Linked DNA regions of Alligator mississippiensis. The protein of the gene in region 3 binds, or shares a complex with, the protein of the main gene of each other region. Links are inferred from orthologs where the notes say so. Each region holds a gene or a part of one and is shown on either strand. Other genes may lie near its edges. The genes, in order: DENND1B, RUSC2, RAB35 and ACAP2.

What was found.
Region 1: the proteins of RAB35 (region 3) and DENND1B are in contact, whole or in part, in a crystal structure (PDB 3TW8), measured with the Homo sapiens proteins. The link is inferred for Alligator mississippiensis from reciprocal best matches to the Homo sapiens genes RAB35 and DENND1B. Residues at the interface, in NP_006852.1 of Homo sapiens: Lys10, Leu12, Ser17, Ser36, Tyr37, Ile38, Thr39, Thr40, Ile41, Gly42, Val43, Asp44, Phe45, Gln60, Trp62, Thr64, Ala65, Gly66, Arg69, Phe70, Arg71, Thr72, Ile73, Thr74, Ser75, Thr76, Tyr77, Arg79, Gly80, Thr81; in NP_001182144.1 of Homo sapiens: Met1, Arg4, Glu43, Ser47, Phe51, Val72, Leu73, Thr74, Asp75, Ile76, Glu77, Ser78, His211, Glu212, Arg213, Arg214, Gln242, His243, Ile244, Ile246, Leu249, His252, Leu253, Asp255, Tyr256, Cys258, Ala259, Pro260, Met261, Pro262.
Region 2: the proteins of RAB35 (region 3) and RUSC2 are in contact, whole or in part, in a crystal structure (PDB 6IF2), measured with the Homo sapiens proteins. The link is inferred for Alligator mississippiensis from reciprocal best matches to the Homo sapiens genes RAB35 and RUSC2. Residues at the interface, in NP_006852.1 of Homo sapiens: Asp4, Tyr5, Leu8, Phe9, Lys10, Ser22, Leu26, Asp30, Ile38, Thr40, Val43, Asp44, Phe45, Lys46, Ile47, Lys58, Gln60, Trp62, Thr76, Arg79, Gly80, His82; in NP_001129471.2 of Homo sapiens: Val997, Lys998, Asn1001, Asp1005, Val1008, Thr1013, Arg1015, Lys1020, Glu1119, Glu1155, Leu1158, Leu1159, Gln1161, Pro1162, Leu1165, Leu1166.
Region 4: the proteins of RAB35 (region 3) and ACAP2 are in contact, whole or in part, in a crystal structure (PDB 6IF3), measured with the Homo sapiens proteins. The link is inferred for Alligator mississippiensis from reciprocal best matches to the Homo sapiens genes RAB35 and ACAP2. Residues at the interface, in NP_006852.1 of Homo sapiens: Arg3, Asp4, Tyr5, Leu8, Ile41, Gly42, Val43, Asp44, Phe45, Ile47, Lys58, Gln60, Trp62, Phe70, Arg71, Thr72, Ile73, Thr76, Arg79; in NP_036419.3 of Homo sapiens: Val715, Ala718, Asn719, Ala720, Asp721, Val723, Thr724, Arg727, Leu728, Arg730, Met731, Glu734, Met735, Ser738, Glu748, Thr749, Gln751, Arg755, Asp756, Gln759, Met760.

What each region holds. Positions count from the first base shown.
Region 1 is NC_081828.1:66,335,784-66,342,941, reverse strand, and holds the start of DENND1B (DENN domain-containing protein 1B), read left to right. Parts: upstream 1-4,157; 5' UTR 4,158-4,413; coding exon 4,414-4,430; intron 4,431-7,158. UniProt on the Homo sapiens protein: Guanine nucleotide exchange factor (GEF) for RAB35 that acts as a regulator of T-cell receptor (TCR) internalization in TH2 cells. Acts by promoting the exchange of GDP to GTP, converting inactive GDP-bound RAB35 into its active GTP-bound form.
Region 2 is NC_081826.1:301,427,271-301,434,479, forward strand, and holds the start of RUSC2 (AP-4 complex accessory subunit RUSC2), read left to right. Parts: upstream 1-4,192; 5' UTR 4,193-4,308; intron 4,309-5,268; exon of another isoform or gene 5,269-5,394; intron 5,395-7,209. UniProt on the Homo sapiens protein: Associates with the adapter-like complex 4 (AP-4) and may therefore play a role in vesicular trafficking of proteins at the trans-Golgi network.
Region 3 is NC_081833.1:21,328,317-21,335,660, forward strand, and holds the start of RAB35 (ras-related protein Rab-35), read left to right. Parts: upstream 1-4,329; 5' UTR 4,330-4,485; coding exon 4,486-4,537; intron 4,538-4,986; exon of another isoform or gene 4,987-5,001; coding exon of another isoform or gene 5,002-5,014; intron 5,015-7,344. UniProt on the Homo sapiens protein: The small GTPases Rab are key regulators of intracellular membrane trafficking, from the formation of transport vesicles to their fusion with membranes.
Region 4 is NC_081830.1:89,273,465-89,280,319, reverse strand, and holds the start of ACAP2 (arf-GAP with coiled-coil, ANK repeat and PH domain-containing protein 2), read left to right. Parts: upstream 1-3,845; 5' UTR 3,846-3,915; coding exon 3,916-3,968; intron 3,969-6,855. UniProt on the Homo sapiens protein: GTPase-activating protein (GAP) for ADP ribosylation factor 6 (ARF6). Doesn't show GAP activity for RAB35.

The DNA.
Region 1 (7,158 bases), on a different chromosome or scaffold from region 3:
CTGCACATGCACTAGAATTTTCTCTTGGTCTTATTTTTCCTTTAGAGAAGAAGGGTTCAGATAGGGCCCATGGTGGAATGGCATAACAGTACTTTTCTCAACACTGCCCTCTTTTTATTAAATCTAACTGGAGTTTTAATGTAGGTATTAAGTATCAAGATTGCCAACTCTGTCCCCGCTCTTCCAAGCATGAAAACTGGGACACTTTGTGTCAGTTGTGAGAATCTACTTAGTTTACTCTTAGTGATAAACTGTTATAGAATCATGAATGGGAATAATTTCCCCAATCAAGAATAAAGCCACAAGAGGCCCAGAGGATATGTGAACCACCCATCCTTGAGCCAGATAAACCCAACAGGCTAGGTGGGATTCCTACACTGCATCAATATGTGCTACAGTGAACTTGTGGTCCATCAAGTCCAAAAATAGTAAGCAGCAGATACCTCAGAAAAAGTGTAAGACACCACAGAGGAAAGATGAAGGTTTCATTTAAATCCATCGTTGCGATTGACTCGAACCCTAAACATGAGGTTTTATCTTTTTGGGTACATTTTTTTTATTACTAGCTATAACAATTCTGGACATTCTTTTAATCCTTATAAACATCCAATCCCTTTTGGAGTCCAAGTCATTGGTGTTTAGAATTTGCCATCCTTTGATTTCTTACACAGGCTCTTTTTCTTGCCTTACAAGACAGGAAGAACAGAAGCTCGCAGTCTACATTCTCTATTTTATAATGTCATCTTTTGTTTGTTTCATTTCTAAGGTTGACTCTCTTTAATTTCTCTCCAAATTAAAGTTTTTTCATAGCTTTATTTTTTTCTTGTCTCCCTTTTTTGAATCTCATCTACTAAAATATTTCTTTTATAAGAAATGACCCCTGGACATACAGATCATTTTAGATGATGCCTTGTAAACATAGTGTACTGAAGGGAGCATCAGATTTTGGCATTTCAAGCAGGTACATTTATTTGTTGGCAGATTTTACGGGAGTATTTTTGCTTCACCTCACTTGATACCCTCAGAGAAGTTCATTTGTAAGTAGTTCAGCAATGGATGGATAGCCTCAATGAAAGCAACATTGAATTAGTGTTTTTAATTAAAAAAGATAGTTGGAAAATATTCTACAATAAGATGAACCCCAACATCTTCCATGGACTTCAGTGGGAGTTGCAGGTCCGCTTAAATGTGACAAAAAATTAATGCAGAATTAAGTATGCAGAAAGTTAACACTCAATGTTCATTCTTTTGCTTCAACTTTGAATTGGTCTTGTTGCACATTCTGTATGTTTTATTGCATCTTAATCTATATACAGCGAGACATATAGATATAAGATGTGCAACGTGGCCAAGAAGAGATTGCATCAGAATATTTAATATTTGTAATTTCTTGGCTTTTGCATATTTGAATTTTCAACCTCCATGATGCTATTTTATGTGTTTAATATATAATTGGCTTGCACTTATTCTTCTCTTCAAGTGTTGATATTATGATTGATTTCAGAGGGAGCAGCAAAATCAATGACGTTTGTGCTTTGGCACAGTAATGTAAACTTTCTGTTTTATAAATGTTTCATTGCAGTGAATGAGGGTGAGGGTGAAGGAAACTTGGTGTGGGAGGGAATCTGGCTGTTTAGTTCACTTAAGATGAATGGGTCTTGGAGCTTTCTCAAGGCTAGTGCTTGTTTTTCTTCCATTTCATAGTCAGTAAGACTTCTCTTGTGTGGAAAGCTACTCATGTTGATTGTATTTACTGATATATTTTGTGGATTTAGCGTGCTAATTTCTTCCATTAGATTCCCTGTTAAGCAGTTTGTTAAGGACCTGGGACAAAGGAAAGATGAACAGTAAGCAACAGTAACATTCATCATCTTTTCTAGAATCCTCAAAGCATTACTTTCCCCCCACTGTGATATGAAATATATGCAGTAGTTATAAAATCTCCAGGTAAATAATCTAAACCTGCTCACTTTATACACCTGTCTATTTTGGTCCGTCTGATGATTTATACAGGATATAATATAACGGTTGCCAAAATGACTGTAGTCCTTACAAACTAATCCAAACCTCCTGAGTTTACTGAAGAACAATTGCAAGGCAGCCGTAATGCATTGAGCAGCACTAACTGCCACTATGATGATTAGCCACTGCTGTGATGGTAGCCCCAGAGGCAGCTACTGGCACTGCTGTCCCAGTTGCCACCCCCTCCCCCTTAGTTATGTTACTGGTTTGCAGCCTGTAGAGCTTGTGTGATTATGGTCCATCAGTTTCTATCGCTAACAGCACACCAGGAAGCATCCCATCCTGTTGCCTTTCCAAGCCAAATGACCAGATACCCATTTATAGCTGGATCAACTGGGGCTTGAACTCTCTCACCTCTGGAGCTGTAGTGGACACTTTAACTGTCCTGTCACTGCACTCCTATCTGTAAACTTAATGGACCAAATTTAACCCTGGCATGAGAGCTCCTACTGAAATCAACCTGAGGGGCATCTGTTTGCAGTAGGGCTAAATATAGCCCAGCGAAAGACCTTGACTCAAATTATTCCTTTACACATGTCCAACAAGAATCGGTTTCTTAGCAACTAATATTGAAACTGTCCACACGGACATATATGTACTTTATATGTAAGTAGTTGATTTGACTGCAGCGGAGCTATTCACATGCCTAAATGCTGGCAGGATTAATGCATTTTCTGTTTCCTCACTTGCGCTCTTTCTCATACACTTTCAACCTAGGAGTAGAAATTCTGTTGGTCTGAAGCTAGGCAGAAGGCAGGGTGGTGTGGCACTGTCCACACTGCCCAGCCTTCTGCCTGCTTTCACCCTTCAGGGCTTTTTGTTTATGAAGTCTACGAGGGCCTGGCTGGGCCCTGCAAGTTAAGCCATTCGAATAGACCCAGGTTCTTTGAGTAAATCCGACATCTTTTATTAGACCAACTCAAATAGTTGGAAAACTTCTTAGCAGGCTGTCTGCCTGTGTCCTTAGACCAACATGGCTACAAACTACACACCTCAAATAGACCCATAAACCAACATGATTTGGCTTGCCCAGGACTCATGCAACAATGTGGCTTTTCTGTGGATTTTGGATTCTTATCAACAGCTGTTGGACAAATTACAGTGGGTCAAGCTAAGCCTGTGCCTAAGATTTTTTTTTTTTTTATGCAGCTGGGGCCTAACTGTTGAGTCCTTGCCTTAGCTGCTGGTCTCACAAGCCCCAAAATGCGGCCAACTAAGTGTCACTCTGAAGACAGGGGTATAGGTTGTAGCCATGTTGGCCTAAGGACACAGACAGACAAGGTTCTTTGGGTAAATGATATTTTATTAGACCAGCTCAAATAGTTGGAAAAATTCTTTTTTGGGTATAAATACCCTGTGTCAGGCTGAGGCAGTGGCGATGTATAGGGGGTACATGGGGGTGCATGTATACCCCCTGACAGGCAGCATTCCCCGCTTAGGTGGTGGGCTGGGGGGGATGTGGAAGAGCTGATGCCCCCCCTTAGTGCCAGCTGGGGAGTGGGGGTGCCAGGAGAAGCACTGCTGGGATCAGCCACAGGGGACCTCCTCTCCCTGGTCCATGGGATGAGCTGCGGGGGACCCCCCACAGTCCCTGACTGGCTGCTGAGGGGGCAGGTGCCCCGCCCCGACTCAGGAGCACTAGTCACCCACGGGCTGAGGAAGCATCTGCAGCTGGTAGAGCCCACACCAACTGCAGAGACTTCCTCAGCCTGGCCCAGGGCATTTATACCCGAAAGGGGCAAAGAAGAATTTTTCCAACAATAAAAAATATCGGCCACTCTTGGAAGGTGACTTCGCAGGCGTTTCCCCCAGCGTTTTCTCTCTGATGATGAAGGGTTTGGCTCTGGTGCAGCAAAGGGGTTACTGCAAAGGACCCCTCTGTCTCCGTTTTTGCCCTGGAGGGGGGAGGGAAGAAACCGAAGGGATCTGAAGCAGGTGCGGGCGGCGGGGGAAGGTGGGTCGGTGCCAAGGGGCTGCAGGGGAAGGCCGGGTCCTTGCTGTGCCGGTTCCCGGGTGCGGGTGCCTGGCCGCGGGGGGGAGGTTCCCACGCCGGGCCCCGCCTCGCTCGGGCCAGGCCGGCGACCCCGGCGGGCCCGGCCCGGGCAGCCCCCGCCCCGCGGGCCCAGGTGACGCGGGCCGAGGAGCTCCTGCGGCCGCCGCGCCGCTTCCTGGTTCCCAGGAGGTGCCGGAGCCGCGGCAACAGGAACTGAGCGGCCGGGGCGGGGGGAGGAGGAGGTGCCGCCGCCGTGACGGCCCGAGCCGGCGCCGCGCCGCAGCCGCCAGCCGGCGCCGTGACCCCCCCCAGCTCCCGCCGCCTCCCTCCCCCGCCCGGCGCGGGGCCCCGTCCCCCTCGGCGCGGCGGGAGCGGCCGCCGGGGCCCGCGATGTGAGCATGGACAGCAGGATCAAGTGAGCGCGGGGCCGGCGCGGCGGTGCTACCGGGGGCGGGGGAGGGGGCGCCTAGGCCCCGGCCCGCGGGAGGGGGGTACTGACAGCGCGGGGTTCCCCGGCCCGCGGGAGGATGCTGCCCTCTCCCCGAGGCGCTGCCCCACCCCCGGCATCTTCCCTGCCCCTCGTCACGGAGACGCCCGCCCCGCCTCACACCCTCCTCTGAACATGGCCCCTCCTGGCCAAGCCCTTCATTGCCAGGCCAAGCCACACACGCCCCTGGGCTCACGGGGGTGTCCCCGCCCAGCCGGGGAATCTGCCTGGCAAGAGGGGGGCATCGCCAGGGGGTGGTTTCTGCCCCTCAGCACCCTGCTCCTTGTGGATGCCAGGTCCGAGGTCTCCTGGGGGTGCCCCCCCTCCCCTCACTTTCTGCTTTGTCAGAACCAGAGCAAACTTGGCTTGGCGCTACCCAGACTCTGACCAGCAGCAGGTCCCTCTACCTGGACATAGGTGACTGGTAGGGGGGGCATGTGCGCCCCTTGACAGGGCCATCCCAACCACCACTGCCAGCTTCTGCAGGTGCTCACCCATCCCCGCCACCAACGCCAACCCTAGCTTCTGTGGGTGCTCGCCATCACTGTCTCTGCCACCGCCACCGGCTTCTGTGGGTGCCCCCTGAGATTTAGGAGGCACCAGTCACCCATGTACCTGGATTATGTACCTGCAGGGTTCGAATTATGCCTTGACTCTTGGGGGGGGTGGTCTGCAAAAAAAAAAAAAAAAAAATTGGGCTGCCCATCACCATGCCCTAATGCCTTTGAGTGCCACACTGGCACCCATACCTACTCCTGCATTTTGGTTGGCACATGTGCCTCAGGGTAGTTGGCAGGGAAGGGGCCACGGCTGCACTATCACAACAAGGATCGGGCCCTTTGTGGCTTCCTCACCATTTGCCCCTGGCAAGCGAACATCTTGCAAGTTGAGGTTGCAGGTGTTTCTGGCACTCTGCCCAAAAACATTGCTGATTCCTGCCCTAATGGAATCAGAGACCGCACCGCCCCCTCACTCAGGTTATGATTTTCAAATCTTACAGGGGGCTGTCATCTCTTATGGGGGGGTTCAGGCTCCCCAAGCTCCCCCCGTAATATAGTTAAAAAGAAACTAGAAGTTTTAGTAATGTGCTAGTGGCCTAGGCTCCTAGCATAATTATAATCCCCCAAACCCTGCTAGCCAGTTTAGGAAAGCAGCGACTCTCATAATTTTTCACATGCAGAGTTTTCTGCTTGTCTCTCCGTAGCTTCTGCAAATAAATAGGGCTGGTTTTCAGCAATGGAGTTGTTTGCCCTGGTTGCTGAACTTGTGAAACATACAGGTCAAGTTAGCTCTGGTTCTGAGGAAGTACTGTGCAAATACCACGTAAAATATAGTGAATCAATAGGGTGGCTGTTGATCAACAATCCTCTGAATCTAACAACATTTTTATAATATGCTGTTGAAGAGAATCTTCTTTCAGAGAACTTAAGAGCATATAGCTACACTAGAGAAAATATGAGCGTTATCCTGGTTATGAGTGTTGATAAAATAATTTCAGTGAAGTTAGTTGTTTGTAATGGTTTACAGTTACTTACTAATTGATACACAACTATTTTGAAGTGCCAAGTAAATGGTTATAAACCTAGCTAAAACTAAGTTATAAAATAGTGTGAATACATTTTGTCTCTGATTCTGTAAAAACAGGCCTTTGAAATACTTTTACGGACTTCCTTAATCAGAGTGTCATGATGAGAGGCTAAATCTCTCATATTTACTCTGAATATGTGTGCTGCTGTTTAGGAGTTGTGATAGACAGTCTGACAGTTATGAGAGTAGATAAGTTTGTGAAGGGTAAATTGAGACCTACTTTTGTGCAAATACAGACTTTACGGCAGTATACTGAAGGGAGTGGATATATTTTCAAGAGCTTCCTTTGTGACTAAGTTCAGTTAAAAAGTGGAACTGTAAAGTCCTAATCCTGTATTTTTTATATTGTTTCAGGAGAGATTAATAAATTAAATACAGTATAATGCCTTTCTCTTAGAAACAAGTGGACAGGGAAATTGAGCCAAGAGACTAAACCAACACTGCTGGCTAGAATTTTATTAAGTCCTTTCATGGCAGGGAGGTGGTGACATTCTTCTCACTACAGGGTGGATTCACAGTCCACTCTTTCCTTCAGCGCAAAGAGCTTGACTCTCTTCAGTTTCATTTTGATTTTGCTAGAGCAAATTCTGTATCATTAACACCTGTGTAAATTGTTAGTACCCTGGGTTTATATTGGCATAACTGAGATCAGAATTTGGCTCCCAAGTTTGCATAGGGCCAGCCTTAAAAAGTTCTGCAAAATGATGTGTTGTGGGTGGGATGTGTGATTGTTATACTTTCCTATAAGACCTGAGTCTTGGTATCATTCCATATTTTCGTAATTGATAATGCCTAATAGTCAGTGAAGGCAAAAGAAATTATGAAAAAATAATTAAATAACTGTTGATAGTTGAAAGCTTCCCTTCCAGTTCAGAATCCTTCTAAAATTAAAAAAAATTAAACCACCATCCATGATGTGTTTTATATGCAACAGTCTTGAAATCTGGAATCCAGTCTCTAAGGCTAGGGACTGACGTTACACATAAACCGGTTTAAGTGATCAGAGACTGGTTTAAATCTGTAACAAAACAGTCATTCAGTGCATATAAACCAGTTTGAAAATGGTTGA
Region 2 (7,209 bases), on a different chromosome or scaffold from region 3:
GGCCGAGGGGCACGGGGGCAATTCTGCTCCTGCCGGCCTGCAAGGGGTTGGAGCGCGTGGTGCAAAGCTGGGTGCGCTCACGAGATCTCCCGTGGTGCCATCCTTTCGTCCCTCGATGCAATACCTTAGAGCACGGCGATGCTCCGGGGGAGGGAGGCTTGGTGTTGGAAACTCTGCCGTCCCCACGGCTTTGCCTCTGCCGTGAGCGATGGCAGGGGGATCCCTGGCCCTGAGATTCAAGCCCTTTGCTCCCGAATGGTTGCATGGCAAGCCTTGGTCTGTGCTGGACCTGAGCACTTTGGAGGGCACGGGGCAGGGGATGACCCCCCCAAGTCAGTCCAGTGTTGGTCCCTGCTATATGGCCCTTGTTCCACGGCAAAGCTCTTCATCCCTGCACCGACCGGAGCAGTGACGTCCAGGTGCAAGGACTTGTCACCTGGGTGTCCCAGCTGACTCTCATGGCAGGGCAGACCCAGCCAGGGTCAAGTACACCTTGCCTTGGGACTCTCACAGGGTGGCACTGGGGCATCGGAGGGCAGAGACTGCCCCGCTGCTGCAGGGCTGGGTTGGGGGCTGCTCCTGTGCAATGCACGGGGTCGGCTTGGTGGTCTTCTGCCCTCGCCTCTCCTGAGCAGCAAGGGCGAGAAGGTGCTCGGGACCAGGAGCAATGCAGTTTCCCCATACCCGCGAGGATCTGCCAGCTCTTTTGGTCTTGCATGCGTGGGTTCATCCACCGTCAGCTGGGAGGATCTCCAGTGCACCAAATCACCAGCCGAAAAAGAGGAGCTGTTGAGCGGTTTGGCTTGCGGTGGGGTCCTGGCTTCAACGGTGACCCTGTGAAGCTGCTCGGGCACTAGCTCCCCTTCGGTTTGGCTCTTGGGGACCCATGTGTGCAGGCAGACGGGCGTGTTGGCGTGGCAGCTTGGAGCGTGGTCACTGTGCCGGCCCGAGCAGCCCCGCGTGTGCCAGTCCCGAGCTGTGATGCACTCCCAGCATCGCATGGTGTTTTGTAGACCTGTTTTTTAACAATAAATCATGACTGATGGGACGAGTAACCCACCTCCCAGCTGTTCGTTGACAAAGGGAGCGGGCTGCAGGGGTCCCCGGGAGGGGCTGGATGGGAGCGGGGTGCTGTAGGGTGCAGGGTCCTGGCCCAAGACCAGCCACCGTGGAGGAAAATGGCAAGAAACCCGGAGCCGTGGGTTCAGACAGGGTTTGAGACTCAGCCCGGCGCACCTGTGGGCTCGTGTTTTACACTGCCGTCATGCCGGGGTTTTCACATCCGTGTGAATTGCGCACGTGTGTGCCCTGCTGTGCTCGGCCACGGCAGCCGTTTGTGCAGGTTTGGAGGAAGAACGGCTTTGCTTTCCAACAGGGCTCCAAGGCCGCTGGTGCAGGGCCTGGGGCCGCCTCTCATCCCTGCCACAGTTCACTGCGTGTCCTTGGTCGTGCCGCTGTGCGGCCATGCCCGTGGGCTGGCCTCCCACACTGAACCCCAGCAGCCACAGCTGGGAACTGTGGTCCAGGTCCTGGCACGAGCCGAATCTTACTGCCCCCAGCTGGCCCAGGACCAGGGGGTGTTGGGGATGGCCCTGGGGCAATAGAGAAGGGCAGGGAGGGGAGCATGGGAACTTGGAGCAGAAGGGGCGTGGCCTTGGGGAAGTGGGTAGGGCCACTCGCAGCCTATCTGTGGCTATGGGGGCCAGGTCTTGCAGATGTTGGATGGTGGGCAGGGCTTGCAGCCAGGCCCCGCCCCTGGGCTGCAACATAAACTGTGGGCTGCAGGGGACCTGGGGTTTGCTCAATGCACCTCGTTACCACTGCATTGCCTGTTGCGCTGCCCACTACACCACACTGCCATTGCGTTTGCCTCCTCGTTGCCTATCGCACTGCCCACGGCACTGCCCCCTGCATTTCCCACTGTACTGCCATTGCATTTCTAGCTGCATTGCCCATTGCACTGCCCTGCAGCTCCAGGGTGCTGCACTGGGGCCCTGCCCCCCACAAGCCTGGACATAGTTTGCCCTTGGCTGGGACCCCCTGCATCCTACCCGGCGTCAGCGGGGCCCCACGCGTGTCCGGGACAGCCCAGGGGAGCTGACGGTTGCGGGGACGATGGCCTGGGAGCCAGAGGCAGGCAGGTGCCACAGAACTGCTCTGCTCCGACGTCTGGTGTCGCGTGAGGAGCGTGTGATCCTGTCCTGCTGCGCGGCTGCCTCGGCGGCGAGGATCGGTTACTGTCTCCTAGAGATGCGGGTCAGGTGTTGCCCCGGGACAGAAGCCGAGGGAATGGGAGCTGCCCGGGCAGGTGCAGGCTTTGCCAGGGCCGGGCGTGACTAACAACCCCGTGGCTTCGAGGAACGCAGGTTCATTATCGATCAGCGGCTGCATAATGTATTTTAAACATGCCCGTTGCCCGTGTTGGCACCTGCATGCATTGCAACTTGAATTATTCAGGGCCCTGCAGCACTGGAGGAAGAGCTGGACCCTCGGAGGACTGCTAGGCTGACTATTCATCCCTCTCGGATCCACCCAGAGCTTGTGGCCCTGTGCCCTCCCGGCTCTCCCGGCGGGGGCCTGTTGCTCCTTTGCAGCCTTGTTTATTCCCGGCTCGGCTGCTGTATTTAAAGCCAGCAATCCCGTCCCGGCTCAGCTCGCTTTGGCAGCCTCCCCACGCTCAGCTCTCCTAGGCTGGCCTTGGCAGGCGGCTCCCCCCTGACCCTCCGCACGAGGGGACCAGGGCTGTGCACGCTCGCTTCCAAATGAGGTCCGGGGACTCTGGTGATACTTGTCTCTCGTCACCAGTGATGCATCCTGGGGTTGCGCTGGCCCTTTCCGTGGCTTCGTCATGTCAGCGGCTCATGGCCCTGACTGTGCAGCTGAGCCATACCCGTGTGGCAATGATTCAAAGCGATAGTCTGCACCTCTGGGTTGCTGAATTGTTGGGCTCGGTGCTTGCAGCCACGGTGCTGCTCCGGCCTCCTCTCCAGCAGAGAAACTCCAAAATCCCATGGAGAGGGGGAGAGGCCGTGGGGGCAAGGCTCTCCAGCCAGGACCTTGCGGGGTTGGTGCAGCAGGAGCATTGGCACAGCCCAGCCCCAGCCCGGGCTGCAGCACCCAGCGCCTCTGTGGGGTGGGGGGTGGGGGGGGTGCTAAAAAAAATCCTGACCTGCAAAACAGCAGCGAGAAGGCAATCTCCTCCAGCTGCAAGTTTCCCTTCCCCTGGCTGGGGGGAGGGCAGAGCTGCCACCCCCCCAAATCCCCCTTCCCCAATGAACTGAGCCCCTCCCGAGCCTTGGTTTTAAGGGCAAGCTCATCTAAAGCACTGGAGGATGCAGGTCTGGTTGTCCAGCGTGGTCCGTGGCTCAGCTTGTGGCCCTGGGGTCAGCGTGTGCCCCTTGCTGTCATGCATGTGCAAGGGGGCTGGGAGCACTGGGATGGACGCTGGCCGGGCAGAGGATTTTCTTCATCCTGTCCTCCTCCCCAGCGCCCGGCCCTGAATCCCCCGTTGGAGTTTGTTGCGTGTACCCTGGCTCATGCAGGGTTGGAGGCCGAGAGACTTGTAGGGCATCTCCAGGGAGGTGGGAGCAAGCGGGGTCCTTCGCCCAAGCCCTTCGACCTGCCCCTGGAGTGAAACGGTCACCTTCGCGGGGCGAAAGCAGGATTTGGGGCTCTGCTCCGGGTGGGAATTGGGGCTGCTCGGCCCCGCGGTGTAATGAGCTGAACCGGCCTCGAGACGGCTGCTTTGGGGCTCTCTCCTCTGCCCGTGTTCGTGCAGCGCCGTGCACGCAGCCACCGGCCCTGCCTCCCATGGGGACGGGTGCCTCCACCCTGCATCTGGAAGGCCCCGGCGGGGTTGCCGGGCCTGCGGCGAGCAGCCTCTTGCACAGCCTGGAGCTGTTTTTAAACCAGACAAATGTTGGGGCTGAGCTCCCTTTTTTTAGCGCATTCCTGCGTCCAGGCCGGCGGCTCCAGGGGCGGGCGTGCGAGCTGGCCCGGGCCTGGGCCCGGGTACTCGCAGGCAGCCGGTCCGCCTGGCAGGCAGGGCTGGCGCGACGTGGCTCGCTGCGCGGCCTGGCTGGGGTGTGCATTGCTGGCGTGCCAGGCCCCAGCCCTTCCCTTCCCGTCCCGTCCCGTCCCGTCCCTTCCGGAGTTTGGGTGGCTCTGGCCGTGGGCGCCTCCCTCTGCATTCCTGCCGGCACGTGTCGTGTCGGGGGCAGAGCTGCGGCTGCCCGGAGATGCTGTCGCTGCGCCGTGGCCCTGTCGGGACCAGGGCGAGGAGTGGCCCCTGAGAGCGTCTGCGCAGGGGTAAGTGGCAGGGGAGGGGCCCCTGGATCCGCAGTGAAGCCAGGGGCTGTGCGTGGGTGCGAATGCCTTGTCCCGGCAGCACCCCCTGCCCCCGCGCTGCTGGCTATATCCCCATTTCACAGGCGGTGAAACTGAGGCACGTAGCGGAGAATCTGCGGGGCCCTTGGAGCATCTGGCTGGTTATTTCCCTGTTTCACAGATGGGGAAAACTGAGGCATGTGGTGGGGAATTTGTGGGCCTCTTGGAGCATCTGGCTGGTGATACGCCCCTTTTGCAGGTGGGGAAAACCAAAGCACGTAGTAGAGCATGTGCGGGTCCCTTATGCCTATTTCACAGCAGGGAAAACTGAGGCCCGTAGCAGCGAATCTGTGGAGCCCTTGGAGCATCTGGCTGGTTATTTCCCCATTTTACAGGTGAGGAAAACTGAGGCATATAGCAGAGACCTGTGGGGCCCTTGGAGTATCCGGTTGATGATATGCCCATTTCACAGGCAGGGAAAACTAAGGAATGTAGGAGGGAATCTATCAGTCCTTTGGCACACCTTGCTGGTGACGTGCCCATTTTACAGGCAGGAAAAGCTGAGGCACGTAGCAGGGACCTGTGGGGGTCGTTGGAGCATCTGGCTGGCTACATGCCCATTTCTCAGTTGGGGAAAAGTGAGGAATGTAGAGGGGAATCTGGGTCCCCCGGGGGTACCTGGCTGGCGATATGCCCATTTTACAAGTGGGTAAAACTGAGGCACGTAGCGGGGGCTCTGCATCTCGGCTGGGTGATTTAGAGGGGCCGGCTCCACGGCCGGGGGCTGCCCCCAGACCCCAGACTGGGATGCAGGGAGCAGGGGATGGGGACAAGGGGTCCCCTGTGCCGGGGCAGGGCACTGCTGAGCTGTCCGCAGCCCCCTCCCCGGGCCGGGCTGGGCCGGGCTCCCGCCTCCCTCTGGCCGCCGGGGCGGAGGCAGCTCCTTGCCGGCTGCAACTCGAGCCGCCTCCTCTGTCCTTCGTCCTCCTCCTCCTCGCCCGCTGCTCGGTGCAGCCAGGCCCGGAGCCGCCCGAGCGGGTCCCGCCGTCCCCGCATCACACCGGGCAGGTAGGAGCTGCCCCTGCCCCTGCCCTGCAGAAGGCGCCCATGTCGGGGTGCTGCGATGGGCAGGGAGGGGCCTAGCCCTAGCCCGGCTCTGTCCAGCCCCCGGGGTGGGGAAGGATGCTGGGCCCCATCCAGCCGGGCACCCAGGGAGGCTTCCCCCCTGGGTGGGGTGGGGTGGGGTGAGGGAAGGGCAGCTGCCCCCCTGCATTAGCCAGGGCCAGCCCCAAATGCAGACCCCCTTCCTCAGCCCCCTCTCCCAGCCCCGGGAGCCGGGTGGGCATCGCTCCGCGGCAGCCAGGCCAGCTCTGGGGTCAGCAGCTGCGCAGTCCGCGCCCCGGGGCGCTATTTCGGGGAATGGCCCTGCCCGGGATTAGTCAGCCCAGTTATGTGATCGGGGTTAAAAATAGCCCGGAGCCCTGCCCCGAGGCTGGCCGGCTTCACGTGGGGGGATGGGACCAGAGCGCCTGTCTAGATCTGCCGGGGCTGAGCAAGGGTCCCCGAGGCGCGTCCTGCCCGCTGCCCTGAGGTGGCAGAGCCCGGCCCCAGCCCCAGCTGCCGCAGCACGCGGTGGGACTCCCGGGGCAGCAGCCTGCCCCCCGGTTCTGTCCAAAACTCCCGCGTAACCGCCATGACTTTAAACGCCCGATGGGACTATCCATCCAAACACGTGGTCCAGGAAGTGAAGGGTTAATATTGTTACGCAGCCCATTCCCTATTGGAGTCTAGCTCCAGCTGGTTCTTCCTTACTGGGGCTACTGGGAGGGGGAGAGTTCAAGGGCAGGGGAAGCAGCTGCTTGCTCAGCCCAGCTCGAAAGGCCGATGTGGGCTGCGGGTCTGGGTGCGAGTTCTCTCCTGTTGTGCACCCCGTGGATTCGTGGCCACAAAGAGCGTGGCCCTGCAGCCTCTGCCTGCGTCTGGGCTGGTCCCTGGCCTTGCTGCCGAGGGGGGTCGGGGGCTCCGGCGGTCTCTGCTTGGCTTGTGTGGAAAACCGCCGGGAGCGGTGACGATGCTGGCCGCGCCGTGGAGGGCTCTGGAAGCTGGCAGGCTCGTGGCTGCTCCTGGCTGGGCTCTGTGCACCCGCCTGGGCGAGGGGCCGATGCTGCTGGTGCAAGCTCTGGGGAATGGGAAGCCGGGGCCTTCCCAGTCCCCCACCTCCTGTGTGTGCTCATGTGTGCGTGCATCCGTGCACCCCACCGGCAACAGCGTGTCCACGGAGGATGCTGGCCCTGCCTGGCCAGGTGCACGGCTGCCGCAGTGCTCCACGCTGGCTCCGTGCTGCTCGGCACCTCCTTGAGTGGTGGAGCCTGCTGGAGGTTTACCTGCCGGAGAGCCCGTTCACCGCCGGCGGGTCTGGCTGAGACCTCGTTGGCGAGCTCGGTGTGGCCTGTTGGAGAGGCAGCGGTTATAAGAGTGCTTAGCCGTGGAAAGGCGTGCTGTTTGGGGAGGTTTTGGGGGGTGAGCTCCATGACCGGGAGCTGGCACGGAGCAAATGCAGGGCCGAAACGAGTGCGGTTGTTCCCCAGGCAGACACGATTCTTTGGGTCAATCTGATATCTTTTATTAACCAGGTCAGAGTTGGAAAAAATTATTTTTGCAAGCTTTTGGGCAGGCTCTGCATCGCTGCGGTCATGGCTGGGCAGCTGTGTCCAGAGCTCTGCTCCGGCTGGGCACGCGTGGGGCCGGGCCTGTTGGTCATGCCGGGACGATGACCCTAGGCCCCCGGGATTTCCAAGCCCCGTCGCGGGCTGGAGGGAAGCTGCGAAGGACACGGCAAGTCATTGCTTGCAGCAGCAGATGATAAAGCAGGCGTGGGGGTGC
Region 3 (7,344 bases):
AAGGACAATTTTCTTGCCATTTTCCAGTTGGTCTAATAAAAGGTATCATTTTGGAACCAAGAGTTCTAGTTTTTTGTATGTCACTGTATATATTGAAATTATGATTCTTTTATTATAGCAGATAGGTAGGAAGGGGTACAGAATGTGACAGATCTCTTTAAGAAGGGTTGTTCATTTCAGTAATTAAAGGCACTGGTCTTGTGGACACATGCTCTCTCTCTTTATGCATCCTAAAGTAGTTTCCACTTACAAAAAGCAGTGTTAAGACAATAACATTTTTTAAAGTTCCACTGTTAGTATGTGATCATGTATGGGTATTTTAACATTCATGTTAGGCTGAAGATTATAAATTAAGTGCTTAAAGCAGTGGTGCTCAGCCATGCACAGGTTGTGTCATCTTGTCTGCAGTGTTCCCCATGGGTCCAAAAATTTGGTGGGGGAATAGTGGCAGTCATGACTTCCAGGGCCATGGCAATTAACACTGCCACTGCTCCCCCACCCCCAATGGTCCAGACCCACGGGGAGCCCTGTGGACTGGATGATCATGCTGACACATGGGTTCATTCTATGACTCCATCTGGTGTGTGCGGTTGCATCCATGGACTGGCCCTGTGTACTGACTCAGTGCTGGATCTGATCTGTGCCACACATTGGGTCTGTGGGGCCGGAAGTTTGAGTACCGGTGGCTTAAAGACACTTGCACATAGTTTTCACCTTGAATAGCATCAAGTGAAAAATTCATGTTCTAATTGAAAGCAATTTGGTTGACAGTTTGACTTTAAAACTAACATGACAAATTGTTTTGGTCTCCTTTTGGAAAGAAGGTGCTAATTTTCAATATTTAACTATACAAAAATCTAAACTTGGCTGTTGTGATTTCAATGTCAATGTTTCTGATTTATCAAAATATTTACACACTAATATATAATAACTCTGATGAGTGGGTAGCTTCTGTGCGAACTTGAGAGAGAGCAATTTTTTTTCATGTTATATGTCTTCCAAATAAGCCTTTCAGTAGAAGAAAGACATTTTATACCACTGACTAAACTAAGAGCTTTGAATTGTCAAGTTACTGTCAATGAGTGGCAGTTGAACTGCATGTAGATCCGAAAGAAATTTGTTGGAGAAATGTTCAAACTTGAAAGACTTTATCCAATTTAAATGAAAGAGACAGGAAATTCAGATGAAAGTAGGAAATATCAAATACTTGGATCTCAAGATAATCTTGTTTTATGAAACCGATACTACTTCCTAAACTGATACTATTGTGAAGTGTTCATGTTGTAGGAAAATCACTGATTTCAAGCATTCATTTAAAATTATGAGAGAAAGTCTCATGAGATTTTTAAGAAGAAAGGGGAGGGCTTATTTCTCATTTGTGGGGTTTTTTTTGCACCTTTAGGATGTATGCACACTGGTCATGTCTTCATCTTTTTTCTATAACTGGGCACATTTACACATGCACTGTAATGCACATTAGCCTATTTTAATGCATATTAAAGCATCATGTAAATGACCTTGCTTTTTACTAATGCTTATTAAAATTGGCTAATGCACAGTAAGCATCACGTAAAAAAGCATGCTCTTTAGTTGATGCGCATTACACTAGGCTAATGTGCATTTTTCTAGTACAGCAAAAGCTCTGTTATCGGGCACCCATGGGGAATGGGGGGTGCCGGATAACCAAATATGCCGGTTACCTGAGAGGCCCAAACAGCATCTTTGCCTTTTCGGGCTGCCACCCCTCCCACCGCATCCGGTGTGCTGCTGCCCGTCCCTGGCATTAGTGTGCTGGAGGACAGGGAGGGGGGCCCGGCACAGGCTGCTTTGCCCTGGGCCATGGAGGCTTGGTGAAACCAGAAATGCCATAGTGAGCACTTCCGGTTTTGCTTTTGCAGTGTCAACCGGCATGCTGGTTTCTAAGGTGCTGGATAACATGGCTTTTGCTGTACCTCAAAATGGAAGGCAGTTTTACATGTGTTCCAGTGTTGGTGAGGTGGCACTTTAATTAGACCAGCTCCGAGAGCCACTCTAATTAGTGTTGCTGCATCTTGTGCATCAGTGTCCCTGTGCTTAAAAATGGTGGCAGGGGTGCTTGAACTAAAGCTCGTTTGACGAGCTTTGGATAAAGTGCCCCCACCACCATTTTTAAGCATGGGGATGCCGAAATGTGAGGCCCAGGAGGCTGCTGGAGTGCAACAATTGCCATGCTCCAGCAGACTTGATTAACTGAGTCTGCTCCAATGTACTGGAATTCCCCGGGCATTGGAGCAGCCTCCATGCTCATGTGTAGGCACCCAGAGACACTATAATGCACATTAACTAAAGCGCATTAATGGATGTGTAGATGCACCCACTGAAGGCTAAAACATAAAACAATTGCAAGACTTACAATCAAAATCATAAACACTGGCCGCACTGCTGAATGGGGATGTGGGAGGGTGGGGTGAGAGAGATATTTTACACATTTTATAAGCCAAAAATCATCAGCGCACAGCTGCCTGTGATATCACCCCACTAGCCTTTTGCAGTCTAACTGGTATATAAATTATCCTGTGTAAATGGGAAGGAAATAATTCCAAAGATGATTAAAGATGCAAGAGACGTTACTTGTGAAAGCAACAAGATCCCAAGCCTTCCCGATCTTAATCCCATCATATGCAGGCTTGATAAAAGAAATTATTCCCTGCCAAGTGAGCCTGTGGAGAAATAGGAGTGGAAACAGCTATTTCCCATAAACATGTCATTCATACAGAAGAGACTATTAATCTGATTTATATAGGTGCTGTTCCAGTGACAAATTATTCTACTGAGGTCCTCAGAGCTTGATATATTCTAATCCTTCAGTGTCTGTGAAGCAGAAGACTGATTCAGCTATATTTTATATCTCACACATTATAAAGGGTCACAGCATTTTTTGAGTTTCACTCTACTTGTCTGCCAGGTTTTCTACCTTCTGCCAGCCTGCAGATATCAACAATCTGGCAGGTAAATGTTATTTTTCAGAGCTAATTATTCCAATTTTAAAAAGAATGTGTATTAATAATATACCTGAACTGATAAATTGTAACCATATGCTTAAATTAAGAAATGAGCTGCTTAGCTTATTGAAATAATTGTGTCAATATTTTGGCTCAAGTAACTACAAAAAAACTTGGCAAGACTGCAATTTTATCAAGTACCTAGAACACCTGTTTAAGTGTTTCTTTGCCTCCTTTTGTGTCTTTTCAGCATGTACCTACAAATCAAAAATTGGTGGGGGAAAAACCTAAATAAACGACATGCTAAATTTAAAACAGGCTTCCTGGACTACTTTTTAACAGTAGATCCTGCAGGCCCTAGTTCAATCAGACTGATCAGGGTGTGCAGTCTGTTTGCAACGCTAACGAGCGATACACACGTATTTACAAGGCTCTTTGGGTGAATCTTACCTTTTATGAGGCCAACTTAGATGCTTGGAATTTTTTTCCAACTGGATTCACCCAAAGAACCCTGTCTGCCCGTCCTTCGACCGACACGGCTACGACCTACACCCCGTAATGAGTGCGCATAGGCATCTCGGCTGCCTAGTGGGCAATGTTGGAGCAGCAGGTGTGAGCTTCTCTTACGAAGGTGGCAGTGGCTCTAGGATGTATAAAACTGTCCCGTCCACAGCGATGGACCTCGTGTTTAACAGCGAGGGGATCCAAGTACAGACGGGAAAGCAAGGGGGTGCAGACGTGGCGGCAGCGCTGTGCAGAGGCCGGGCCCGCGGCTGCATCCTGGTATTGGGAATGACCGCTAGCCCCAGCTCCGGAGGCTTGTGACCCCTCTCGGGAGCCCCTGGGGTCTGGGCACCGGCCGGGCTCGGTGCGGCCTGCCCTCGGGGCAGCAATGCCGCCCTAGCAGGCAGCCGGGCAGCTGCAGGGCTCGTTCACAGGACGACCGGGTTGGACGGGCCTGGGGCAGTCCCTGCCGCAACCATCTCATCCACACGTTTTTCCAACCGGCTCTTAGCAACGACCGGGCCGCGTCCACACGCTGCAGCTCAGCCTCTTCCTTGAGGCCGCTGCCCTGGGCCCCGACCCGGGCCCACCCCTCCCCCCGCCAGGTGCGGCAAGGGCGCCACGCCCCGCGAGGAGCCCCGCGCCCGCACTGCGCATGCGCGCTCGCAGAGCAGCCGGCGCTGGGAAGCGCCAGGTGCAAGCACGGGCCCCGGCTGCTGGGCGGCGGGCGCGCCAAGTGCGCAAGCGCAGGGGGGCGCCGCCCGCCCGCGCGCATGCGCAGGCGGGCTCGTAAGGCCGCGCGCATGCGCCCGGGGCAGCGAGCGGCTGGTGGTGTCCGGCGGCGGAATCAGGCCGCGCAGGCGCGGGCGCAGGCGCGTTGCGGTGCGGTGCTGTGCGGCCGCTCGGGGTGTTGCAGCCGCCGCCGCTGCCGCTGTCAGTTCCGGCTGCTGCTTCGGGAAGCGGATCGGGCCCCGCCGCCTCAGAGCCCCGCGCCGCGGCCATGGCCCGGGACTACGACCACCTCTTCAAGCTGCTCATCATCGGCGACAGCGGTGCGGGGGGCCGGGCTGGGCTGGGCCGGGCGGCTCCGGGGGGGCCGGGGCGGGGCGGGGCGGGGCGGGGCGGGGCCGGGAGGGAGGGAGCGGGGTGGGAGTCGTGGCCGGGGCGGAGGGGCGGCCTCCCGCTTCCGGGGCAGGAGCTGATCCCCGGCCTTGCCCCGCCGGGGCCGTGTTTGTGCCCCGTGCCTGGTGCTCCGGGCTGGCCTGGGCCTGTGCTTGGGGCGGCCCGCGCGGGGGACTCGACGTGAAGGGACGGGAAACGCCTCCGGAGGCAAGAGGCCGGGGTGGCCCTCAGGCGTGCGGGCTGCCCCGGGGCGGGGGCCTGGGGCGAGCGCCCTTTGGCCTTGCGTCCGGACTTCGGTCAGCCCCGTTCCCCACCGCTGCCGCCTGCAGCCTGGAGCCGGAACTGGCACGGGCTGAGCAGGTGACATCCACGGCGTCTCTTCGCAGAGGTGTGGATGCAGGGCGCAGGTCTGCTCGACTGCGAATGAAGCATCGCATGATTGCAGGATCGGTCACCTCTGCAGCTTTATGTCAAGAAACGGCTGCCTGTGCCCATAAGCAGCAGCCCTGTTTAAGGCTATAGGGCCATATAAGGCCCTGTTTAAGCACCCACTTCTTAGGAGATGTGGGAAGGGCCTCGACACCCCTACTTTATGTAGAAGCAGTGGCTCTTTTGCCTAGTGGTCAGTTTCAGACCAATTTAAGAGAAAATAATCTGTATTAGAAAAGACTTTGTTTTTGTCTTCAAACATTGGAGTGCAGTTCATAGCTGCTGCTTAACTTGAGCAAAGCCCCTAATTGCTGAGCTCTGTTCAGTACGAGCAGCTGTATTATAGATGCCTGCAGCTCTGTGTTTGTACGGTTAAATCTCAGGATGGAGCTAAAGTATTGCTTTTTGAGTGCTTGTTCCTTAACTCCAAGAGGGAAAGCTTTGTCCCTCTTTTGAGAAATGTTTTGCTTGCACTGTTTATTGATCCTTAAAGAAAAGGCTAGTTATAGAAAAATGCATTGATGTTAGATTGGTTGAAACATCAGCAGCTTTCCCTAGTGTGGAGTTGAGAGGATTTTGAAGAGCTTTAAATCTGAGTTTTGGGGGTTGTTAAACAGGCCAGTTAAGCAAACCAACCAACCACAGAACTTTTTTTTTTATGTTGCCAAGAATTGCATCAAGTCTTTTTTGGGGGAGGAGGTGAAAAAGCTTGGGGTGGGGGGTGGGAATTACTGATATGGCTAATCCATAGCTAGACTTATTTTCCTGCTTCCACTTTTCTAATTGAGCTAGAGCTGGGTTTGTTTTGAAAGCTGGTTACAGTGCTGAAACTGTCCTGTGGCAGATCCCAACATCAGTCAGCAAAGACTTGTTGCTTACTTTTTTTTTTTTTTTTTTTTTTTGCATGGGTGGAAGATGCTCCACTGACCTGCTCCACAGCTTGAAATAACTGCATAGGAAGTGGGGGTCGGGGGAGTGTGGTTTCTCTATACATGAGCATTGTGGGTCATGGGTAGTGCTTTGTTAGTGGAACATACAGAACTTTCTGCCTTCAGGAGGCTTCTTCTTAAGGAGCTCTTTGCTTATTGTGGATCAAGGCATTATTTACTGCTGAAGTAGATCAGCGTGGCAAAGTTCAGTTAATTTGCAGCCCGTAGAGTTCTTCTGTGTTGCTTACAGCTGGCTTCCTCTTTACTACACTGGTGCTGTCTGACAAAAATATTTGTCCCTGCTTGTCTTCTCTGCTGTGAAGTGAGTGCTGAAGCTGCTCTTACCAAAGTTATACACTTCTTTTGCTGGGGGCTGCATCACTGTTACTTAGACAGATCAAGTGCAGCTCTTTGTTAAAGCCTGTTTAACTGGAGTTGTCTAGTTCTGGACTTGTACAGTTACATCTCGCCGTGGTGCTAAAATATTGATTTTGAGTGATTGCTTTTTAACCCCAAGAGGGAACCCAGTTTCCAGAAGCATTTTGCTTCCATCCTTTATTGATTCCTGAAGAAAAGCCATGGGATAGAAAAATGCATTGATGTTGGGTATCAGTTGAATCTAACTGGTCTGTGATCTGTCACCTTCTTGGAGTTGAGGTGCTTGGCCTTTGGCTGGTTGAACATGGTTGTCAGTACAATTAAATCTCATGTCATCTTTGTATTACAGGCCTCAGAAGCAGGCATGGCTTTTTTGGACATTAAGGAGCTAGCCTTGAGCTCTGGGCAAGGGGGGTTTAGGTTATGGGATGGTTGGATGTTGCAGGTCATCTAGTGGGATCTGAAAAGGCCACTGAGAACTACAAGAGCTTTCTGTTGGCATCGCACAAAGCCTTTGCAGGAGTGTGCACAGAGTGTGTTAATAAAACAAACTGGTTTCTCTGACTTGCCAAAGTAACTTCTAAACAGGAACACCAGGACCAGGTTGGCCAACTGGAGTTAAGTGGCTTCTCTAAAACTAGTGCACAGAGGTGACAATCTGGGGTGCCCTAATCCCAAATACATGCACATGAAGGGACCAGTTTCTTATGATGCACACCTTTTTGTTTTAAAAAAACAAATCCAAGATGCTTAAATGGGGAAGCTGCAGTGTGGCAGCGGATTACGTAGCACCTTATTCATATTTTCATTGCTTAAAATACTTTTAAAGTATTGAAACATCTTGGCAAGGGGCTCAACTTCAGAGTAAATCTGCAGTATAGAATGCATGTTGCTTCTTGCTAGGTATGGAGCAAGCATATTTTGGATGATCTTCATAGGACAGTGGTTCCTGACCTTGTGACAACTGTACCAATTTATGTGTGCTGCATTGACCAACATTT
Region 4 (6,855 bases), on a different chromosome or scaffold from region 3:
TTACCATCTGAGAAGAAGTAGCTGTCTGAGTAAATCCACATCAGGGCAGTGGAGATGGGGAATGATACGTGCTTGTGTGGCATCAGCTCTTTATGCCACCCAAGTGACTACTGGTGACCTTGTCCCTCTTGGGGTTCGTAACCCAGGCTGTGAAAACCACTGGCTTGTGTCTCCTGATCCAATGCAACTTGCAGTAGCTGATTCTGTAAAATGAAGGCTCTTGGGAGGAATAGCTGGGAGGCTGCCGTGTAACTTGACATACTGTTTACAGGGTGGTTGATAGCCCTGATGGAGAGACATCACTGAACCTCCAGATTACTGTAAACAACAGCCCACTCGAAGGATTTTGACTATGGTGAATGTTCTAGTATTCAAGGTAGTACTTGGTTTTATTATACGGATGAAGTATACTTAAAGCTATGGCTTAGTTTTGGAATACTTTGTATTCTGTCTATTTCTCTTAGTTTTGATCTAAACTTGAGATGTTGCAAAAGTTCATATAATTATATGGACTTGTTTTAATGACTTTCTGTCTACTGTACATGTGAAGTTTGAATAAAAGAATGAAAGTTATTTTACAGTTACTTGGATTCTCATGTGTGAGCTTTCCTGAAACTTAGGGTGTGTAGAATGAATGAAGGGCAGGCACACTTGTCACTGGGAAGCTGTGGTACTTCTGTGGGATATTGCAGTAGACAAGGGTCCGTATGTGAGCTGTGCCAAATGGGTGTAACTGTGTGTTTTCTAGCATCCCTAATTGATGCTTTTCTAAGCTATGTGTTGCCAGATCTTGTGACATTTCTGGTGGTGTTTTCCTTAAAGTCCAACTCTTGGGTGAATAGCTTCAGGGAAGGGAGATGTGAGAATCTGTTTTCCTCTAGACCTCATGGTTGCAGAGGATGTATTGGACAGTAAGGTTTCAAATCAGAAGGCAAGCAGAACCTCATGGCCATGAGTTGAGGGATAACAGAAGAGGCTGACTTGATTTATGAGGGCTTGGGGTCAGCAGAGAGCTTCTCAGATCTGTTTTTGTTGCTTGAAATGGTGGTTGTGCAAGACCCCAATTGAAAGGTCTCTTCTACTTTAATAATATAATAATAAAAAAATACAGCTTGATAAGTGTTGCTTTGGGTCGGATCCTGAGATGCTGAGGCTCCTGCTGGATGTGAGACGATAGATTTGTTGCTTACAGAGGTTGTCACATATTCCATGGGAATAGGTCCTTTCCCATTTCTCTTGACACATGACAGTTTCTAATGCGTGCGTGTGTGCATGTGTGGGGATGACGACAATGTGTGCTGGATTTTTTTATGCTGTGTGTGGTTTCTTCCTTTCATTCGGCAGTTCTTTTTAGATGCCTTTTACCTCATGCACTGCCATGGCCCAAGTAAGAGCCAGATGGTGACATTTTAGGAAGAATACACAAGTGGTAGAGCTGGCTTGCTAGATTTAGAGACTTGTCATAGACAGATCCAGGTGCCAGTACTTGTTTGACTTGGCATAGTTCATTTTTCAGTGTTGACTCTATTCAGCATTGTAAACCCATTCTTTCCAATACTGCGTGTGCCATCTGTTAGTTGAGGACAAACATAGCGAACGCTGTGTAGTAGAGACGGCAGTTTAATACTTTTAGGTTCTGAACCTACATATATTGATTGTCCAGGGTCTCGTTTTCCTCTAAGGTCCTATGGAGAAGCTGCTGTTTGTATCCTTGGGGACTTAAAATAACCCCAAAACAAAAATATATATATAAAAAAAAAAAAAAAAAAAAGGGCCTCTCTCCCCTCTGTGGCAAGTCCATGGACCTTTGGATGACGTGGACATGTGCTTTGGGGAATGTCATGTGCGTGCCCCAGCTTTTAACCGTGAGCAGCTGGTCTGGGGTGTACAAGTCCTGTGATTTGGACTAAGACCTGTTGTGGAGCTCTTCCTGGTGGAGGTAGTATTGTAGTTCAGCTATAGTAATATTAGTGTGAAGCATGGGTTTTTGCTAGACTATCATCTTAATGTCCAAATCATCTTAATGTTGTTATAGAAAAAATTCTGTATGGCATTTTGTGGGTTGTGAGGTTTGCAGTCTGTTTTCTGTAGTTGCTTCATCATTTCACTCACTTTGGGGACGACTTGATGTCCTTTTTTAAAATATGTGTTTTTTAAATTGCTTCAATCTGGAGAGTGGGGTTATTTGGCTTTAGCCATGCTTCCCTTTTATTTTTTTAAAAACGTACAGAGGTAAGTGTTTCTGAACTTGTGCATATTACAGGAGGGAGTGTGGCTGGAAGGAAAGCTATTGACCTCTGCCCTCCTTTTATAACTACTCCTTTTCAAAACAGCCTTCCTTTTCTGGCGTGGAGAGAGAGAGAAATCTTCCCGCAGGAAGAAAACAAGATTCCCCATGTGTTTTTTAACATCCCAGTGCTTGGGCAGGAGCCCAGGTAATACAGCAACATGTGGTGTAAAAACAGACCCTGTCACCACTTCTTACTAATTTTAAAATTGAGTTGTTACTTGTCTGTAACGAAGTTTTTGCATGGAAATATTTTTCTAAACTTGAAGTCCTTTGTAAAAGAACAAACAAAACAACGTTGTCAGTCGCTTGGAAATAGCTTCTGTACATTTTATATTGGACAGTGTCATTTGCAAATAGCATTAACACGTTTCCTTAAGGAACTTTCTTTTGACGTCAGCGCCTTGCCCGTCACGCCATCAACATGTTTTCTCACAGCCCGATCCCCTTGTGAAAGTGCTTGGTCTTTGTGCAAGTTTTGTTTCTCCGATACTGTCCTTCTTTTAACCTGCTTCATCCTAAGCGTTTTACCACACGTTGAATAATTTCACATACTGATCGCTTTCCCACATTTTGAAACCAGTCCTGAAAGTGTGATGCAAAGCAAATAAAGTTGTGCTGTTCCCTGCTCCCGTGCACGGCGGTGTGAAACGTCTGTTCTCTGGGGAATACGGTGCTCGCCGCCGCCGGGAGGGGCACAGCCGGCCGGGGGGTGTCCGCTCCCTCCGCCCTGCAAGCGCGGGACGCGCGCTCTGCTCCTGGCGCTGCCGTGTGCCCGCGGTGCCGCTGCCCTGGCGCGGCCGGGAGCGCAGACCGGGCTCGGGGCAGGCAGCGCGGGTTACGCCGATTTAAAACAAAGGGTTTTGGTTTTTTTTACTTAAAGAACTAATCGAAAACCCCGGTTTTGAGCAGTTCAAATGAAGCCCCACTACTGCGTGCGGAGAGCAGGGGCGTTTCATCAACGGGGGGTGTAACTTTCTGCGGCCCGTGCCCGGCGGGGGAGCGGGAGTCCGCGGGCCCAGGCACGACGGCCAGCGCCCGCCGCCGGCCCCGGGACGGCGGCTTCTAACCCGCCAGGCCCAGATCGGAGCGCTTCCCGGGTGCCGGAGCGGAGCGGAGCAGCGCTGCTGCGGGGAGGGGCAAGCCGGGGCGCGGAGAGCACGCCTCGCTTCTCTGCCATTGGTCTTCTAGTGTCGCTCCAAGAGCGCCGCGCTTGCTGGTTGGGTGCAAGTCTACTCTCTGTATCCCCATTGGGCCGTTTTGCGGTCATTCAGGCTAGAGGGGCGGGACCAGGAAGTGCCGCGCCCTCTCCGCCGTGCTCCCTGGCTGCCTCACCTCTTCCGGTGCGTCTCGGCTCCGGGCGGTGCCGGCAGGAGTCCTTCATCTCCGCCTGGTGATTGGCTGGGTCTTGCCTGCTGCGTTCTTGATTGGATAATCTGCCTGCCACTCCCAGCCATGGGCCGAGCCTGCGGACGGCTCCGCCCCTACCGAGATGCACGCCTGCCGAGCCTCTTTCCGGATTGGCCGGGCGGGCCGCCACTCAGCGGGCGGGGCCTCGGCGAGCGTGGCAGCAACGGGAGCGCAGTGAGCCCCACCCCCGCCCGCCGCTGAGGAGGACGAAGAGGAGGATGAAGATGACTGTGGACTTCGAGGAGTGTCTGAAGGACTCGCCGCGCTTCAGGTGCGGCGCGGGGAGGAGGGGGGTGCCCCGGACCCCTGCCCTCGGCCCGGCTGCGGCGCCTGTCAGCCGGGCTGCGCCCTTCTCCTCAGGGAGGCCCAGGCGCCCCCCGCACCCGCGCGGGGACGCGGCCTGGCCCGCCCCGCCCCGCCCCGCCTCGCCGACCCGCGTCAGGTCGTGGGCAGCGGCCCGTGGCAGCGCTGAGCCCCGCGCGGGGCAGACCCCTCCCGGGGCTGAGCGCGCCGCTGCTCGGGGCGCGCAGGGGTCTCCTTGCCCGCGCCCTCGCACCTCCGCGCCAGCAGGGCCCTGTGTCACCGCCCCGCCCCGCGCTCGCCTCGCCTCGCCTCTCCCGGCGCTGCCCGTGGGGCGGTGGGCGCGCGCGCTGGTGTCCCGGTGCCGTCTCCGTCGCGCTTCGGCCAGACCCCCAGCAAGGCCGGCGCGGCGGTGGAGCCCACCAGCAGCGCGGCCTGGCTCGGAGCCGGATCGTGGCGGGCCGCGGGCTGCTGCGGGGCAGTCGCGTGGCTCACGTCCGTGGAGCCCGCGTGGGGAGAAGCGGGCGCAGCCCAGCGGCAGCGGCTCCGCTCCAGCTTCCCTGCGGCGGGTGAGCCCTGCGGCGCGGCGCGGCGCGGCACGGCACGGCTGAGGCGCGGGGCTTGGCCGTGTCGCGCTGGGCTGTGTTCTCGCCCTGGCCCTCGTGGCGGGGAGGAGGAGGAGTTCAGGGGCGTGGTGGCTCGCAGGCCCTGAGTCACCATCTCCCTGCCCTGCTTCTCCAGGTGTCGCCCAACACTGATGTCCTGGTGCCTGTTTGTACAGCTGTACAGGCTCTTTTCTTGAGTAACGAGCTCTGCAAATCTTAACGTAGCGTGCATCGTTTGCGGAAGCGTCCCTCTCTGACAAAAGTTAGTGTGGTCAAAGGCGTGCGGGTGCGTTAGAAAGCACCGTGTTTGGAAGTAGAGCAGTGGAAAAAACACTGGTCAGACCCGACACGCTCCTTTTCAGCATCCGGTCTCTGCCCCGTGTGACGGGAGACTTGGCAAGAGGGGCTAGGGTCTGACCCAGGCCAGGGCAGTTCTTATGTTCTCCGGGTTCGCAATAGAAAGATTTGAGCAATTGCGGATAACGTGGTGGCAAGCGCTGGTCTCGGAGGAGGAGTTGCCATGGACCTGCAAAGTATCACGTGGAGGGAGAGCTCCTCTGCCGGCCTGTTTTACTGCGTGCGAACCACTTCTGCAAAAATCGTGTGCTGCTACGAGACGGGAAGCACTTGGGGCTCAGTGAGACATGAAGCATCTTCCTTCCTGATCCCCTTTTAAAATGCTGACAGATCGAAGGGCAGACACAGATGCGAGGCACAGTTCTCGCTTGTGTGTACGTCTTACCGCAAATGAAGACGTTGCTTCGAGGAGGGGCCGGATCCGGAGCAGGGCGAGCTGGCTTTGGACAGAGCTCCGCGCAGCAGGGACTTTTGGCAGAGAAGTGCTAGATAAAGAATTATTAAGATCGTGCTTGCGCATGCTGAAAATAAGGGAAGAACCCAACCCAGCTTTTAAACTGTCAAGGATTGGTTGAGCACTTAAAAAAAGTCTTTTTGTAACTATGGGATGATTTCCTTTCTAATATGTGAAACAAGCATAGCATAACAGAGCAGAGAGCCCTTTTGCATTTAAAAAGGAGAAGCAAATGTAGGTGATGTGGAAATCTCTCTCTAAGTGAAATCTTAAGTGTCAAGTCTTGCTAAAAAAATAAAAAGGATTCTGCTGATTTTGTAACATTTAACTGTACCAGCCCATTAGAAAATGTGAGTAGAACGTTTCAAGCTGAAAAATACAGTGGGAAGAAGTTATAGGTGCTTAGGGTCATTTTTATTTTGTTCGCTTCTGTCACTGCTAATGAGAATTGTAGATTCTTGCTGTTTCGAAGGGAATGTCTGTTTCCTGAACTCTGAACTGCAGGACAGATGGTGAGAGAATGAGGGAGAGAAAAAGTATAGAGAAAATGTGTTGCCAATTAGTACCTAAAAGTGAAATAATTTCTTGTCTCTGACTAGTTTGTAGGCATTTCTTTTCCAAAATGACTAGTCAGAATTGTGTTCGTCTAAGCTTAGCTAGTGTGGTCTGGTAAGTCTAGTGTATGTAAAATGGTGACTTCTTGTTGCCTGTGTTTTACAGGTTGATTTTATTTTTAATGTTTTTACATTAGTCTCAACCTGGCATTAAATCTGGCCTACTTGATTGAGTACAACTCGGAGACGCGTCTTTGACTGAAGGAATGCAGGCCCAGCACTGTTGCAGGATACCTCTGTTTAGCTTCTGAACAGATTTCAGTGAATGTTGTGGAACTGTAAGCCTCTAGGAAGGGCACTCTAGGATCACAGGAAAGTAGTGCTGGAACGGACCTCACAAAGTCATCTAGTCCGGCCATCTGCCCCAGACTATAAGCCGAGTAGACATCTAACTTGCTCTTGAAAATGTCCAAGGATGGAGAATCCACCTTTCTCTAGGTACCCATTCTAATATTTGACCATTCTCATAGCCAGAAGTTCCTCCTCGTCTCCAGCCTTAGTTTCCCTTGCTGAATCTTGAGGCGATTGCTCCCAGTCTTCTTCCCTCTGGTCACAGAGAAAAGCTCATCTTCATCCTCCCTGTAATTGTGTTTCAGGTATTTGAAGACTGTTATCAAATCCTCCCTCAGTCTTCTCTTCTCTGAACTAAGTAATCCTGGTTCTTCTAGCCTTTCCTCAAGTTTTGCCTCCGTGGTCCCTAATCATCTTTGTTGCTTTTTCCAATCTGTTCGTATCTTTCTAGAAGTGTGGGGCCCAAAAGTGGATACTGTGCTGGAGCGGGCAGTTCGCCCGTCTTGCTCCCACCCAGCAGCAGTGGTACCTGCTCGA